Linked DNA regions of Nothobranchius furzeri. The protein of the gene in region 1 interacts with the protein of each later gene in a biochemical or structural test. Links are inferred from orthologs where the notes say so. Each region holds a gene or a part of one and is shown in the gene's direction. Other genes may lie near its edges.

Region 1 (4,201 bases):
AAACATGAGCGCGGTAAACGAAACTAATCTGCTGCTGTTTGACACAATAACACCGTTTTGAACTCGTTATTAATGACATTTCAGATTAATAATAGTTTTATATTTTCAATACATTGAAAGTCAGTTATTTCTGTTGTGGTTTTTACATAATGTGAATATTTTTGCACTTAAAATGTCATTTCTAATGCTAAAATAGGAATTAATGATTTCATTTGGAATTAAAGGCAAAATCTCATTTGTTTAGAGCAAAAATCCTCACATCCCCGTTCTGAAACGCAGGAAAAAACTGTGGTATTTATGTGAAGAAAAATACATTTTTACAAATTATGATGAACAATAAACTTAAAATTTGGTCTGGGTGGTGACTCGGTTCAGCTCTGCACGTTGCCAGGTGTCAAAAAGCGAGATACTTGAGGATTCCCTCTTTACAGGTGCAGTCTGCTTTCGATGAAAGCACACACACACACACACACACACGCACGCACGCACGCACACACACACACACACACACACACACCTAAACTTCCTTTGACGTATGTTTAGCCCTCTTTAGCCTTCCACCCATAGGCTTGGCACTTTTGAACAACCTCAGGAAATGAAATATTTCTTTAATAAAAATCCGTTCCTGCAAGATAATTAGGCTCTTTTTTAAACAATTTATTGGGTATTTTACCCTCTTCCAAAATCCAAAACAGCTCTTTGAGATGTTAACACAACATTTGATAGCAAACACTGTACAATCACTTGTTAGCACATTTAGAAAGTATAAAACTGCTCAGAATGATTTTCAAATATTTGATTATGTTTAACTTCACAGATTTTTAGCAAAAAAGTGATGTGAAGAAAGCTGCACGTGCTTTCTGATAGTAGATCATGTTTATATATATATATATATATATATATATATATATATATATATATATATATATATATATATATATATATTTTAGATGGGTTGCTTATGAAAACATGGATTGTGGTTATTTTAGTTTTGAACCAAACTAAAAATCTGCTTTTTCTACTTGTAGTGAAAACTATTCCGTTAGCTATGATTGTAGTTTACTCACAACAGCCTCTGTGTTTGTAGTTTTACATAACGCCAGGCTGCTGCCGCTCAGACGCTCAGATGGTGTTTCCCATCAAGATCCGCCCACCTCGCAGGAGGATGCACCATATATGGTAAACTACGTATCGGGGATTCCTTGATCTGGAATATTCCACTTATTGGTCGCTGGCTTTAAAAACAGACACGTTCTCGTCGTAGAGAGGTTGACAACACGCTTCTTGGTGATAAGCTTGTCGTATTTAGCGTGTTGGGTTTTTGGCTGCGTTGTTATGCTAGTGTTTATGGTTTCCTCCTGCCGGTTTCAGGTTGAAGACACGCCCCCAGTCGACGTCACGGCCTGGTGTATAAAACCGCTCCGAGATGCCGGAGTTGGCAGATGAAGTTTGAGCAGCAGAGCAGCGACTAAAGGAGTACGATCCACAGGAGCGCTTCCAAACCTGCAAAAGGGATTTCCTCGTCTCCCGTTTACATTCCCCTGAAGTAGTTTGTTTGGATCTCCCGAGCTTCTTTTTAGCGCTTTGAAAGGATGATGTTCACCGCTTTCAACACGGAGTGCGACTCTTCCTCCCGGTGCAGCACCGCGTCCCCGTGCGGGGACAATCCTGGATACTACCCGTCACCGGCGGGGTCTTATTCCAGCATAGAATCTCCACAATCTCAGGTAAATACGCCATTTATGTTATTTTTTTCCCATAATGACTTAAAATAATTTTTTTTTAAAAGTTCGTGGGTGACAGAAATGTTGTGAAATAAAGGGGCAGTTAGTGATTCAATCATGCCATTTTCATGCATTCACCTGGAAACTCCATAGAGAGCATGTAACGTCACAGCTGACATCATAGGGATATTTTTAAATTGTCCAGTTTTTTATAGCAATATGCTGCTGCAACCCCCTCCTCAAACTAAACCACCTTTCACTTCTTCCCTGCAGGATTATACTGAACTGACAGCATCAAGTGCCTCCTTCATACCCACAGTCACAGCCATCTCCACAAGCCCTGATCTGCAGTGGATGGTGCAGCCTCTGGTCTCCTCCGTGGCCCCCTCTCACAGAGCTCACCCCTACAGCTCCAGCAGCCCCAGCCCAGCCTACACCAGCACAGCTATGAAGTCTGCATCCAAGGTTTCCAAGAGAGGCAGAGTGGAACAGGTGATTATCCTCTGCAATATTATGGATTAACTCAAAAGTGCATTACGGAGCAGGGATGTTAACTTTTCTGTTGCTTCTATGATGTGCAGTTGAGCATTGAGGAGGAGGAGAAAAGAAGAATTCGCAGAGAGAGAAACAAGCAGGCAGCAGCTAAATGCCGCAACAGGAGGCGAGAGCTTACAGACACCCTCCAAGCTGTAAGTATCCCGCCAGACTTTGCTTTCACTTATCAGAATGTTTTCACTGCCAGAGCTAATAGCAGTGCATTCCAGCAGCCGACTAAATGCCTCTTTTCCCCTCCTTCCCCTGGCAGGAAACTGATCAGCTGGAGGATGAGAAGTCTGTCCTGCAGAATGACATTGCCAACCTGCTGAAGGAGAAGGAGAGGCTTGAGTTCATTCTGGCCGCCCACCAGCCAATCTGCAAAATCCCCTCAGAGCTGGACACAGACTTCCACCTGTCTTCCATCTCTCCTGTCCACTCCTCCATCCCCTCTTCCCAGCCTGTAAAGTCCGCCGTCACTTCTAGTCAGCCAACTTTCACCTCAGCCTCCAATTCCCTCTTCTCCAGCAGCACCCCCATCCTCTCCACCACAACCATTTCCAACAGCACAGTCAAGATGACCGACCTGGACTCGTCTGTCCTGGAGGAGTCTCTCGACCTGCTGGCAAAGACGGAGATGGAGACGGCTCGTTCAGTCCCCGAGGTCGACCTGCCCAGCTCCCTTTACACAAGTCAGGACTGGGAGCCCCTCCACAGCTCAGCCAATAATGCTGACTTTGAGCCTCTGTGCACACCTGTCGTGACCTGCACTCCAGCATGCACCACCCACACGTCTTCATTCATGTTTACCTTCCCAGAGGCTGAGACCTTCCCCTCTTGTGGCGTCGCTCACAGGAGAGGAAGCAGCAGCAACGACCAGTCCTCCGACTCGCTCAACTCCCCAACCCTGCTGGCCCTTTAAGGACTCTTCCTGGATACATCGTTCTTCCTTAACAAGCACATTCTCCTCAGATATACGTGCACATCAAAGGGCAATAGCACAGACTTGTACATGGAAGCATAATTCTTAATGATTTTATCTGCCTTTATATACAAATATACTTGCCTATTACACCATGTAGCAAGTTAATAAGCATGTTTCAAACAATAGTCGTTCTATGAGTTCCTCTGATTATATGGTGCTAGATAACTAAACGTATTGTTTACTGATGTGTTTTAAGAGCAATACTTATTTATTTTCTGTTAAACTAGAGTAATTATGACATGTTTGTGATAAAAAGACAGGTGTGATTTTGTCTTAACCATGGTCTGAGTGGTCTTTAAAATATGAAGTTTTCTGTGAAAACATTTGTGCTTTTAATTTATGAGAGTTTTATTTTTTTACAAAGTATAAAAATGTTGTTATATATGTGAATAAAATTTAGCGATATTTAAATTCACTTCTTTTGTTTGTTGGACTTTTAATATTATTTATTTTATCAAGTATTTCCGCCCACGTGTCAAAGGACGTTATGATAATGCCCCAAATCGGCCTGAACAGGGATAGCGGTATTTTTCCTGCTCCTTCCTGCTCTATTTATTGTTCCGTCTGTTGCCAAGGTCTGCTGTACGTCAGGGCTGTGACGTCAGTGCGTTTTTTCCTTCTTTTTTTTTCAATTTGCAAATTATGCGCTGTTGCGTTACTTCCGTGCCCAAATACGGGGAGTCGCTGTTGCAGTCTGTGAGCAGAACCAGAACGGACGGTCGGACCCGATGGGTCGGACACAAAAGCGCACCAAAGGTTTCCTCTGAGCCGAGAGCAGCTGCTGGCATGTTCGCCGGAAGACGGAAAGAAAAGCTGTTGCCTTTATTCCGCAATCCAGGCCACATTGTTTCTCACGTCTCTACTGGCTACGACAGCTTCTGCAGACGAAATCACCAGACAGCAACGCTTCAACCACAAAGCTGTGTTTGGTTCTGCAAAGGAAGGTCTGAATGCGTCA
Region 2 (3,621 bases), about 19 Mb from region 1:
GATGGCAGGTAAAAGACAGAAGGGAGACGGGATGGTGGAGCACCAGGTGTCCTGTTTTTATCCCACAACATTCTTGTGCACCTTAAATCAGGTATGTGCATCCTATCTTTATCATAAGAGAGGTTAGAAGCAGGAGGGGGGGGGGGGGGGGCACACACGCAGCTGAACGGACAGCTGCTGCAACCCCACCGCCCGCCTCCCCCTCCCTTCCCTTGCCTCCTCCTTACTGCTTCCCACGTGTTGCGTGGTGCGTTTGCATGCTTCAGACGTTAGCATGGCTGCTGACTTGGCTGTTGCCATCTGATTCACAGCATTCCTCGTGCGTGAGCATTAGAACGCACACACTTGCACAGACAAGCAGTCCACCCCAAGGCAGCAACTGCTGGGGATTATCGAGAGAGGAAGTGACTATTAAAATGCCTCTCGCCCACTCACGCTGCATCAGAGGTTCTGGATAATGAGATACTGGCTCCTTCATTTTCATCTTTCTGTTTAGACTCTGCCAAAACAACTACACAGACCTTCTTAAATCAGCAGTTCTCTGTTGTTAATCCTCTCCGAGTCAAACTTGTCCTGGTTTTTATTGCCGCTGTGTGATCCCTTCCACACTTGTGACTTGGGGATGGTTTAGAGATGAATACCAGTCATTGTCTTCACGGACTGCACATCATTTGATGTTCTTTGATGTCACCACAGGCAAGAGCTTCACGCTGACAATCACAGTATTCACCAACCCTCCACAAGTGGCCACTTATCACCGAGCTATAAAGGTCACCGTGGATGGACCGCGTGAGCCCAGGAGTGAGTACCAACGCATGCACGGCACAGAAATGTGCTTATACAACACAAAACAACCAAAATACAACATGTTTGTGTCACACTTCGTTTTAAAGTAGATCAAAGGCTAGTAGCGGTCCACATTTTAGCTGCATCAGCCTTCAAAATGTTAAAAACTCCTTTTCCCACAATACCTCTCCTTAAATGTATCTTTGCATCTACAGTTGCTCATGCAGGATCAGATTGTAGAACAGTGATAAAGAACATTAATAGTGAAACCAGACATCTGAACACAGCCTGGACTTTGAAGCAGGAATCCAGCAAGCGCCTCTAGTGGCTGGTTTCGGTACAGGATTTAAGCCCCGCCCCCTCTATATTTAACTGAATACTACATTTCCATGATCATAAAAGGTTCATACTCGCTGCTGCATGCTCAGATATTTCTATTTCTAATGTATTTAGTCTGTACTGATGTGTGTGTGTATGTGTGTGTGTGTGTGTGTGTGGGGGGGGTTCCATTCCTCTGTGCATTAACTCATTGACTGCCAGCTGTTTCCTGATCAGTCAAACCCGTCGCTGCTGGCGTTTTTCAGCGTTTTTACAGTTTTTTCAAGAATTACAGAGCGTTGCGTGCTTTGATGATGTCAACGCCAAAACTACCAAAGCAAAGAGTAGACTCACCCTCTTACATCAGGAAGAATCTGCGCGTTTCAAACGTTATCCGTTCTTTCATAATACGTTGTTGAATTGTGATCTGCAGAAGCTTTTCCGGTTTGCGCCTCACTTTTTTTACAGCATTGGCCCAAAGTGATCTCCTAACACATGGATGATCTGCTTCCTGATCACGTGACGTGTGACGTACGTGGATGAAGATCAGCTTTAGAACTGGGATGTTTGTTCTCACGGTGCGGGGGCTCGTTCCGACACCCACACAGTAAAAAAAAAATGGCAGTGAATGGTTAGATTTAAAATGACGACTTTTGTCGTTACTGGCAGTTAACGAGTAAATGTGCGAAAGTTACTTTTTCACTGATTCAAACAGGTTTGCGTACTGACCCAATGTGTGAAATGAGGGTTCTGTCCCTTTAAATAAGTTGTGGGTGTGTCTTCGTGGAGCCAACCAATGCTCAGCTAAATACAAAACGCTATTTAAACAAGCAAAATAACAGTCGTAAAAAAAAAAAGCTTTTACTGGAAGATGCTCTAAATCCTGTAAACAGACAATCAACTGGCTTTTAATTAAATGAAACAGTCGAGTTTCCCATGCAAGAGAAAGAAGAGACATAAATGTGAGACAAAGTATCCCTGAGAGGGTACACTGGGTAGCAGAGTGCTAGCATCAGCTTATTTTAATGGGCCTTATAAAAACAACTGAGGAAGAAAAAAAACTTTACTATAGCCGTCAGTGCCAACTGGTCTGGCATGCAGCTGTTTCCACAGACCTCCTCCCTATTCATAAAAAAAAATAACGTATTCTCATCTCAAGGCATCTCATTGAACAATATCACATCACAAACAGTCCACCCAGCCGCCTGCCCTGTCACATATGGCACCAGGAAACACGGAGACACAGAGGAGCCAAGAGACAGTAGGATTACTACCACCATCGCTCTGCCTTGTAGGAAACCTGCTGGCGGTGCCAAGAAGTGCACACACACACACACACACACGCATGGGCTCCACGTCACACTACTCGGAGACATGCGCCCCGAAAAACAAAGGCATATGCAAGTCCTCAAGCGCATATGTCCTCACAATCACGCCCACTTCTCCCCACCGCCCGCTCTCGCTTTTGTTTGATCAAAAGCATTTCCTGTGCATCTGCTGTCCCCCGTCAGATGACTTTCAAACAAGTCTTGTTACTTAGTGGCAAGCAGATGGGAGTCGGAACTGTTTGTTTAGGAGAGCTGAACTTGACCTCAACAAAGTTGGAGCTTTAGGTCTGTCTCAGAAAGCCTCGTGGGAGAGACGGAGCTGGAGACAAGTCAGAAACAGGCCAGGAGTTCTACCTGATAACAGGTGAACGGAAGCCAGCTCTGTCTTTGTTTATCTTAAAGTGTTTAATGTTAAATTTGAAGTTTTAAACGATGTAAACTCAGCTACCTTATCCAAGACAAAACAAATATATACCAAAAGTAATGAGTACAAAGATCCAGAGAAATGTTAGAGTGACGACCAGTGGAGCATTTGGGTCACCATGGTAATCAAATGGGGCTTTTATGGTGTACTAATGCTAACGACATAGTTCCTGGTAGCTAACTTAACTAATAAAAGGCTGATGGGAAATTAGACTAAAAAGTAAACTTTCAGAAAGGCTCTGATTGTACCGCATATGAATTTATACGTTTCTGTGTTTTATGTTGGAGACATGAAAAGTTTCACTTTCAGTTTCAAAGAGGAGTTGGAGCTAAAATGTAAATTAGGATATTTGGGTGTCTGTTCTGAGGAGATTTGAGTAGAAAGTCCTACAGCGGGGAGACACACTGGGTGAAAGAAAACAAAAATACCTGCATTTCCATAAAAAAGTTTGTAAATGTCGTAAAGGGTTTGCAGGAATAAAAATTGTTTTTGCACAAAATTCCAATTTTTGACTATTAAAAGATTGGATCATAATTAATTAAATTTCTAAAAATGATCGAAACTTAAACCCTGATGGTGTAAGAACTAATAAAGACACGAAAGTACCAGTTTAGCCAGCTTTCTGTGACCGGTTTCAACCCTGGATGTTGAAGTCTACCTGAGCTACAGCGCTCCCAAAGGGGCGGAGCTTTGTCGCCTGATTCAGTGAAATCCCACTGTTGTAAACACTAAAACGTCTCTAAATCTTACTGAAACCCAGCTTTC
Region 3 (3,621 bases), on another chromosome or scaffold:
TTGTGATCTGTGGGGGAAACCGGAGTACCCGGAGGAAACCCACACATGCATGGGGAGAACACACAACTGCACGCAGAAAGACCGCAGCCGAGTTTTGAACCTGCAACCTTCTTGCTGCGAGGCAACAGTGCTAACCACTGCGCCACCATGCAGCCCACCACAATCTAAAATCATTTAGTCCTCAACAACTGCAGAAATGACCCCAAAAGCACAAGGATCCCCTGGTTTGGTGCCACTTTAAATATCAGTGTAATTAGTAAAGCACTATTTGACTCTGATCATTCATGTACAGACTTCATAAAAGTCTCTCAGAGTTACAACTCCCGTACGGCCACTCTGCCCTCCGGACTCCGTAATCCCCCTGCCCAGGCGCAGGAACTGGCTGGTGGAAGGAAATAGCCCAGACTGCCCCACCAACAAGCCAGGACACAGTTTCACTTGGCACCACGAGCCGTCCATCTGTTTACAGCGAGCCTCTGCTTCAGAAAGCGAGAGAGCGGAAAGAAGCTCTGCCCACCCGGGGAAGCAGGAATTTCAGAGTATTATGATAAATCAGCTGGCCGCCACTTGGTGTTGTTAGGAGCAATGATGCTCGCTTGAACATGAAACAAAACCACTAAGCTAATTTAGATTTTGACCTGAAACAGAAGTCAACGTGTGCTTTATCGTTTTTCTTAACACCCTTTTAGGAAGACTTCTCTACAGCCGTTCAGACGTTGCTCCCTTTCGATGGAATTTGTATTTTAGATTCTCAAAGACCTGCTCATTAATTACAGAGTGGAGTAACAAGCGACTTTATATCATTAGCAATATTAATTATCATCGTGCTCCTTATTCCTGTATGAAACGGAGCATGAGAGTGGAGTCTTTTTTTTCCCATCAGGATCCAATTAATTCAATGCAACTGCCTAACAGCTGGTGGCATTTCGACTCCAAGTCTTCCCTACTCTCCAGTGTGAGCATCATTAAAATCAGGTGCTGTAATCATCTGTCGCTGCAGTAGTTGGCAAGGTAACAAAAAACAAATGAGACTGCAGTTAGGGATGGGAAGCGCTGCCACATGCCCCAGAATGTAATGCCCCCTTATGATGTGGGTTTAAATTGACATTGGAGCGTTAATTAAAGGAAAGGGGTGCAGAAGTAGCATTATGGGGATTAATGAAATGGTTTGCATCCTCTACACGCTGATAGCTGTTTTACATGCAAATAGGCTTGTGTGACACGGCTACCCCATTGCCTTCTGGGTTTTATCTGCTGAAATAAAATGTAAGGAAGGATATTTAAGCCTCGCGGCCGGCTGTTGTTTGATGTTTTTACAGTCTCCGACAAAGATGAGAGCTGCGAGGAGATGTCCATCCCCAGCAGCCCCCAGAACGAGGCTATCCAGCACAGCTCCGTCAGCACCTCCAATGGGGTTAGCTCCTCCTCAGCTCCGGCCGTCTCCGCCCCAGCCAGTGCCGCTTCGGCTAACCCAAGCACAGAGGAGAGTCAGCCACGGAGGGGCGCTACCAAATCCCAGTCCTCAGGGAGCTGATCGTCCCAAACTGCATCCACGCTGGAGCGCGGCGGTCTCTTCAGACAAGCAGAGGAAATAGTTTCTCTCTCCGCTTCAGTTCAGATTGTACACTTTTTCATTCTCTCTTGATTGCTTTGTATTGCGTTTGGCCTGTTTAGTAATTCATAGGAATGCTTTTAAACATGCAACGTATTCTCTGTAACTGCTGAAAACAGAAGAACATGCACTTTAGGTGTTTTTGTATTTGTTGAACTTGTTTATTGATCTTCTTTATATTTATTGATTGGAAATCAGCCAAGTGAAGTGATTGAGCAGTCAGTTGTTACCAAAGTGTGGTGTTGCTCTTTTTTTAATGCTCTTGAACTTTACAAGCACTACCTTTATGATGAAGATACTTTAAAGCAGCAATCTGGAGTTTTCTCCCTTTCGAGGAATTATGTATAATTTTTTAGAAATTAGTAAAAGTGGTAGTGTTACCTGGTACTGTGATATAATTAGCAATACTTTTTTTTCTTTTCTTTTTTGGGCTCAGATTGCCTCCATCCCATAGAGCCCCGTGCAGTTTGAATTGAGCACTTCTCAGCATTAGCATTAGCCAGTAGTGTTAGACATCCCCTGGTGGTGATGAGCTACAATATAGCCACAGCTGTAATGGCTGACGGAAGCAAGGCTGCCAAACACAGGTGCCACTGGTCCCTAACAACCACCACCAGCAGGCAAGGTAACTTGTCTTGCTCAAGGACACAACCACTGTGACGGACTGAGTGGGACTCGTTCCCACAACCCTCCAGTTACGAGGCGGCCACGTAACTCCTCTACCACCGTCGTCCTAATTGTAAAACAATGTTTTAGCTACGTCTGTCGGCCAGAGGTGCACTTTCACACACGAGGGGCGTTGCTTCCAGCCATGATCACAGAAGCAGGGAAAAGGGCTCATAGGTGTAATACCGTTTTTCCACCTCTAGATGGTGCCCTCTGAGGAAAAACTCTGGATTTTTGCTTTAAGTAAATTTGCTTTGACCATTTTCCACATATCTGAGAGGAGATGGGTTTACTTTTTGGAGAGGTGGCGAGACACTGGCAGCTTTATTAAGAAGTTGGTCTAAATTCTGGACACAAAACCGGAGTTTTAATTTGACGAGTGTTTATGAAAACAAGATCAGCTGTCGTTGGGGAATGTTTGAGCTCGCCTCTGCATGTAAAATAGCGTCACACCGGTGAGCCGGCTGGATTTGCGTCTTTCATTAACACTCCACCTGTAGTCTGATTGTCCCTGAAGCAGTGATTGTAGGATCGCAGTACTTTTTTGTTTATTACTCCGTCATGGTGACGTTGACTTTACTCAGTGCCATTAACGTTTTTGTATAAATTACCTCTGTGCATTAAAAAAAATAAGAATAACCTGAGTTTATTGCTGTTCTCTCAGATTTCTTCTGTTTACTGTGTTTGCTTCATGCGTGTCTTCAGTATCCGATGCAGAACATTTAGGGACATTAGGTTGTTTTCATGATGGCAATTCTAGATGACATTTTTAGTAAACATTGTAAGAAAAACAAAGAACACATCAATATTGAACTTGCCTGTGGTCATTCTTGATATTATGTACTTTGTTATATAAGATTGTACACATTTAGTAGATGAACTCTCTTGATCACATCAAGTTTAAAGAAAATGACCTTTAATCTGATTAGAATGCATCAGTAGATTGTAAAATGAAAATATTCTCATGTGAACTGGAATCGCATCGTGTACTTTAGTTACACAAACTGATTGTGATTATTTGTTCATTAATTATGAGAAACAAAGCCCAGCTTTTAAAGTCAGTTTGCTTTTTCTCTTAGTCCCTACTGGCTTACTACTGTGTAGTTTTTACCAACACATTGTTTTCTGAAAATGGGATTTTTAAAGTTTTACTGTTGTGCTTTCTGCATGAGACAACGATTCTCTACGAGAATTTGACTTTGTTTAATGACGCCTCAAACTAAGAAAATAATGGTCAATTAAACAAGTTATTACGACTTGAGTTGTGATTTGTTTTACCCTGGCTTAAACTGCTTCAAAACCTGGGTGTGATATGGTGTTGACAGTGTTTATGTCATGTGAAA
Region 4 (3,621 bases), on another chromosome or scaffold:
GTGTTCAACACTAATGTAGCTGCACCAAAAAATAAAAAAACTAAATCAAATTTGAATGTGACCAGAATCGGCCAATATTTAACGTGTTAAGAAAGTGTGATTATAAAATTCTCTTCCATGTATTTTTATCCGTAATGAACAATTACAAAGCAGTAAAAATAATAATAAATACATTTTTAAAAAAGTAAGAAAACAGCATGTTTGAATTCCTCGTAGTTAATCACTAATTAAAACTTTCAATATAAGTAATCGGGTATAAATCTGAGATCTAAGATAAAAAGTATCTTGTGAATTAATTTTTTTAAGGATTCTAGACCTGCAGGAACAGAACTGGTGACTAGTGCAACTATGTAGTTATTCATGCTGCAACGATTTATTCTTCATCAAATAAGAAACGACAAAATTTCTGTTCCCCAACCAACTGAAAACCCACCCCAGCAGCAGGATGTTACAGGCATTTCAGCAGATTTGAAACTAAAAGTGAAAATAAAGTGTGTTTTTTTTTTAGTCTCACAGACTTTACTTATGCAGAATAAAACGGGAATTGCAGGGTTTTGTTTGGCTGCGGGATGAATCTGTTTCTCGCATTTTTTTCTGCTAGATACAAACCACCTGAAGCGGAATTATTTAGGATGTGATTTCTCGTTTGTTTGTTTAGCCGTTTTGCTGCTTTGAGGATTTTTCTGTTTCCCACCAGGCACCGTCTGGTTTCTACTGGTCACCAACCCCTGCCAGAGCAGCCTCATACGTTCTCAGGGCTGAGCCTCTCTGGGGAATTCAGAACGTTTGCAAACAACTGAAGACTTTTTGGAAACTCACAAACACAAAAAGTGTCACCAACACTTGCCGACCAGTCAGACACTGGCTTTGGTGCAAAGCTAAAAACCAAAGGTGGCCTAGGTCAGATGGCCGTTCACCATCATTAACATGTAAAACAGCATAATAAAAACTACTGAAGTCCTCTCGCTGCTTTTGGTTTTGGTTCCACCCGTGGAGCGTCCGTGGCCTCCATCGAGGCGTCCCGTCTCCGGCCAGTCACCAACAGCTGCATCCTTCATCCCCGCAGGTTCAGTTCCTGCGTTTAATGGATGATAATTACACTACAGGCAGGAACTGTCCTCAGATGAACTTATTGATAGTATATCACTTTTCACAATCTATCTGTGGGGAGTCTGAACAAACGGGAACGACTTTAGTTTAATCGTTACGCTGTCTGGTGTGTCATCCATCTCTGACTCGCGTCCCGACTCGCTGCATTCGCATTCCATATTTGAGACTTCCTGTTTATTTCCTAAGAGGAAAGTGAAACGGATAAATGTAGCATTTTTCTACACTGACCAGGAGTCGGATTGGTTCTGTTAACCAGGAAGTATCAGTAAAAGGAGAGATTAGCCTTGCATACTAAGAGCTGATGGGTTTTCTTCCCCACTGATCACATTACAACAATAAGACTTATTAAAACAGATAATTAAAAAAATATCCTTTTTTCCCTCTTTGTCTAATAGATCCAGCTCCTGGCCGGCGTTACACTCCCACCTCCACCTCGCTCGCCACGGGAGGGAAAATGGCCGAGGCACTGCCCCTGGGGGCACAGGAGGCCAGTGGGGGGGGCGCTCTGATGGGCAAGCTGCGCCTCTCAGACCACGGCATGGCAGAGGTAAAACCACACCGCTCCGATAACCGCTCCGCTCAGGAAGTGACGGGATGCTTTGTTACCAGGTGATCTCGGACCATTCAGGAGAGCTGGTGAAGACCGACAGTCCCAACTTCCTGTGCTCCGTGCTCCCCTCCCACTGGAGGTGCAACAAGACTCTGCCCATCGCTTTCAAGGTGAGTTTCATCACTAAAGAAAATATGTCTTTAATATAAACGTGGGATGAAGATCAAATTAGTATACTTCAGTAAAAAAGTTAAAAGTACAACAAAACAAATAATAGAGTGTATTACAATACATATAATAGTATTCTATTCATGCTTTTATTTGTGAAACTGTCAAATTATTTATTATTTTTGGTGGCCGTACGTAAACGGCTCAGTACTTATGGGTACAAAGGGCCTTGCCCTCGTAACTAAAGTACCCAATATGTACTGCCATAAGTACCCTGATGTAAGAGGTGTAACTGACTTTAGATCTAATTTCTCACACACACACACACATTTCTGCCATTCCTCAAGTTTTTATTTTTTTTTTATTAAAAATTCATCAATATAACAAATAAAACCTCTGCTCACCCTGAGACTTCCATCATAAAGACCAGCCAGTTGGATCAATAAAACCAACATTTCCCACTGGAGAAAGACAGGAAACCAGTGAGTTAATACCTGCATTTGCTTGGGCCGGGTCAGAACCACCTGAGACTCTGGTTTTAACCTAAACTATCATTTCACTGATCAAATTAAAATCTTAAACATGTTCTAAGCTCTGTTCCAGCGCCGCTTCTGTCGGTACGCCCCAGAGCAGCTGTGGCTACAGCGTAGCTCATCAGCACCGGTGTGTGAATGAGTGTGTGTTGTAAAGCACCTTAAGGGCTTCTAAGACTCTAGAGGGCGCTGTATGAATATAGGCATCTCACCTAAGCATAGCCGGTGTGTGATGTGAACATTTGATTTCTCAATAGCCTGTAAGTAATTCCCATCCAGGTAACAATATTTATCACTATGTTCAACCTTTTTCTGTAAAATCAATGCATACTTTAGAAAACAACCAGGTGGGAAAAGACTTATTAATTGTTCTGGTCGTCAAATACAACAAACTTATACTAAACTTCTCCCAATTCCCAGGAATGTTGTTCTGCTATACTCATTAAACGTGTACGTCACCGACAGCGGACCCCTTCCCCTCAGCTCACCGCAGCGTTATTCCTCTTAATCTCATCATTGTCTCTTGTTCACTGTAAAAGTCCCAAAACTTGAAAAAACTAGTTTTGTGAGATTAAATCAAATATTAATACATCCTTTAAGGCAGCTAGCATCGACAGGGTAATATACAACACCCCCAAATAAACAGTGGAGTAAAATATCAAAAAAAAGATGTTGTAATATCGCCGTGTGATGCTTTTTGTTGTGTCACAGAGGCTCGCCTTGCAGGACTTTAAAGTCTTTTTCTACAGCAAAAATCAATCATCAGATTTACTCATCTGCAGTGTTTTTAAAACGCAGTCTGATGATTCACTGGTTTCTTTTGTATTCCCTTGTGTGTGTGTGTGTGTGTGTGTGTGTGTGTGTGTGTGTGTGTGTGTGTGTGTGTGTGTGTGTGTGTGTGTGTGTGTGTGTGTGTGTGTGTGTGTGTGTGGGGGGGGGGATGGCTTTCCTGTTCTGAAACAAAATGCATTTCTGAAAAAGCAGCACTAGTTGCAGAAGACACACACACACACACACACACACACACACACACACACACACACACACACACACACACACACACACACACACACACACACGGAGAGAAAGAGAGAGACAGCAGATTGATTTATTGAGTTTTATGCATTAGTCTTTTACGCGTGTGTGTGTGTGTGTGTGTGTGTGTGTGTGTGTGTGTGTGTGTGTGTGTGTGTGTGTGTGTGTGTGTGTGTGTGTGTGTGTGTTTGGTCCACAATGCATCGTTGTGGAGTGTCATGAGTG

The links.
Region 2: the proteins of protein c-Fos (region 1) and runx2b form a complex in vitro, tested with the Homo sapiens proteins (2 studies listed by BioGRID). The link is inferred for Nothobranchius furzeri from reciprocal best matches to the Homo sapiens genes FOS and RUNX2.
Region 3: the proteins of protein c-Fos (region 1) and atf2 form a complex in vitro, tested with the Homo sapiens proteins (3 studies listed by BioGRID and IntAct, with this or other methods). The link is inferred for Nothobranchius furzeri from reciprocal best matches to the Homo sapiens genes FOS and ATF2.
Region 4: the proteins of protein c-Fos (region 1) and runx1 form a complex in vitro, tested with the Homo sapiens proteins (2 studies listed by BioGRID). The link is inferred for Nothobranchius furzeri from reciprocal best matches to the Homo sapiens genes FOS and RUNX1.

What each region holds. Positions count from the first base shown.
Region 1 is NC_091742.1:2,309,361-2,313,561, forward strand, and holds protein c-Fos, read left to right. Parts: upstream 1-1,443; 5' UTR 1,444-1,592; coding exon 1,593-1,727; intron 1,728-1,997; coding exon 1,998-2,216; intron 2,217-2,305; coding exon 2,306-2,413; intron 2,414-2,529; coding exon 2,530-3,180; 3' UTR 3,181-3,658; downstream 3,659-4,201. UniProt on the Homo sapiens protein: Nuclear phosphoprotein which forms a tight but non-covalently linked complex with the JUN/AP-1 transcription factor. In the heterodimer, FOS and JUN/AP-1 basic regions each seems to interact with symmetrical DNA half sites.
Region 2 is NC_091742.1:21,554,491-21,558,111, reverse strand, and holds part of runx2b (runt-related transcription factor 2b), read left to right. Parts: intron 1-696; coding exon 697-801; intron 802-3,621. UniProt on the Homo sapiens protein: Transcription factor involved in osteoblastic differentiation and skeletal morphogenesis. Essential for the maturation of osteoblasts and both intramembranous and endochondral ossification.
Region 3 is NC_091754.1:21,204,647-21,208,267, reverse strand, and holds part of atf2 (cyclic AMP-dependent transcription factor ATF-2), read left to right. Parts: intron 1-1,319; coding exon 1,320-1,534; 3' UTR 1,535-3,621. UniProt on the Homo sapiens protein: Transcriptional activator which regulates the transcription of various genes, including those involved in anti-apoptosis, cell growth, and DNA damage response.
Region 4 is NC_091743.1:80,937,619-80,941,239, reverse strand, and holds part of runx1 (runt-related transcription factor 1), read left to right. Parts: intron 1-1,505; coding exon 1,506-1,657; intron 1,658-1,719; coding exon 1,720-1,830; intron 1,831-3,621.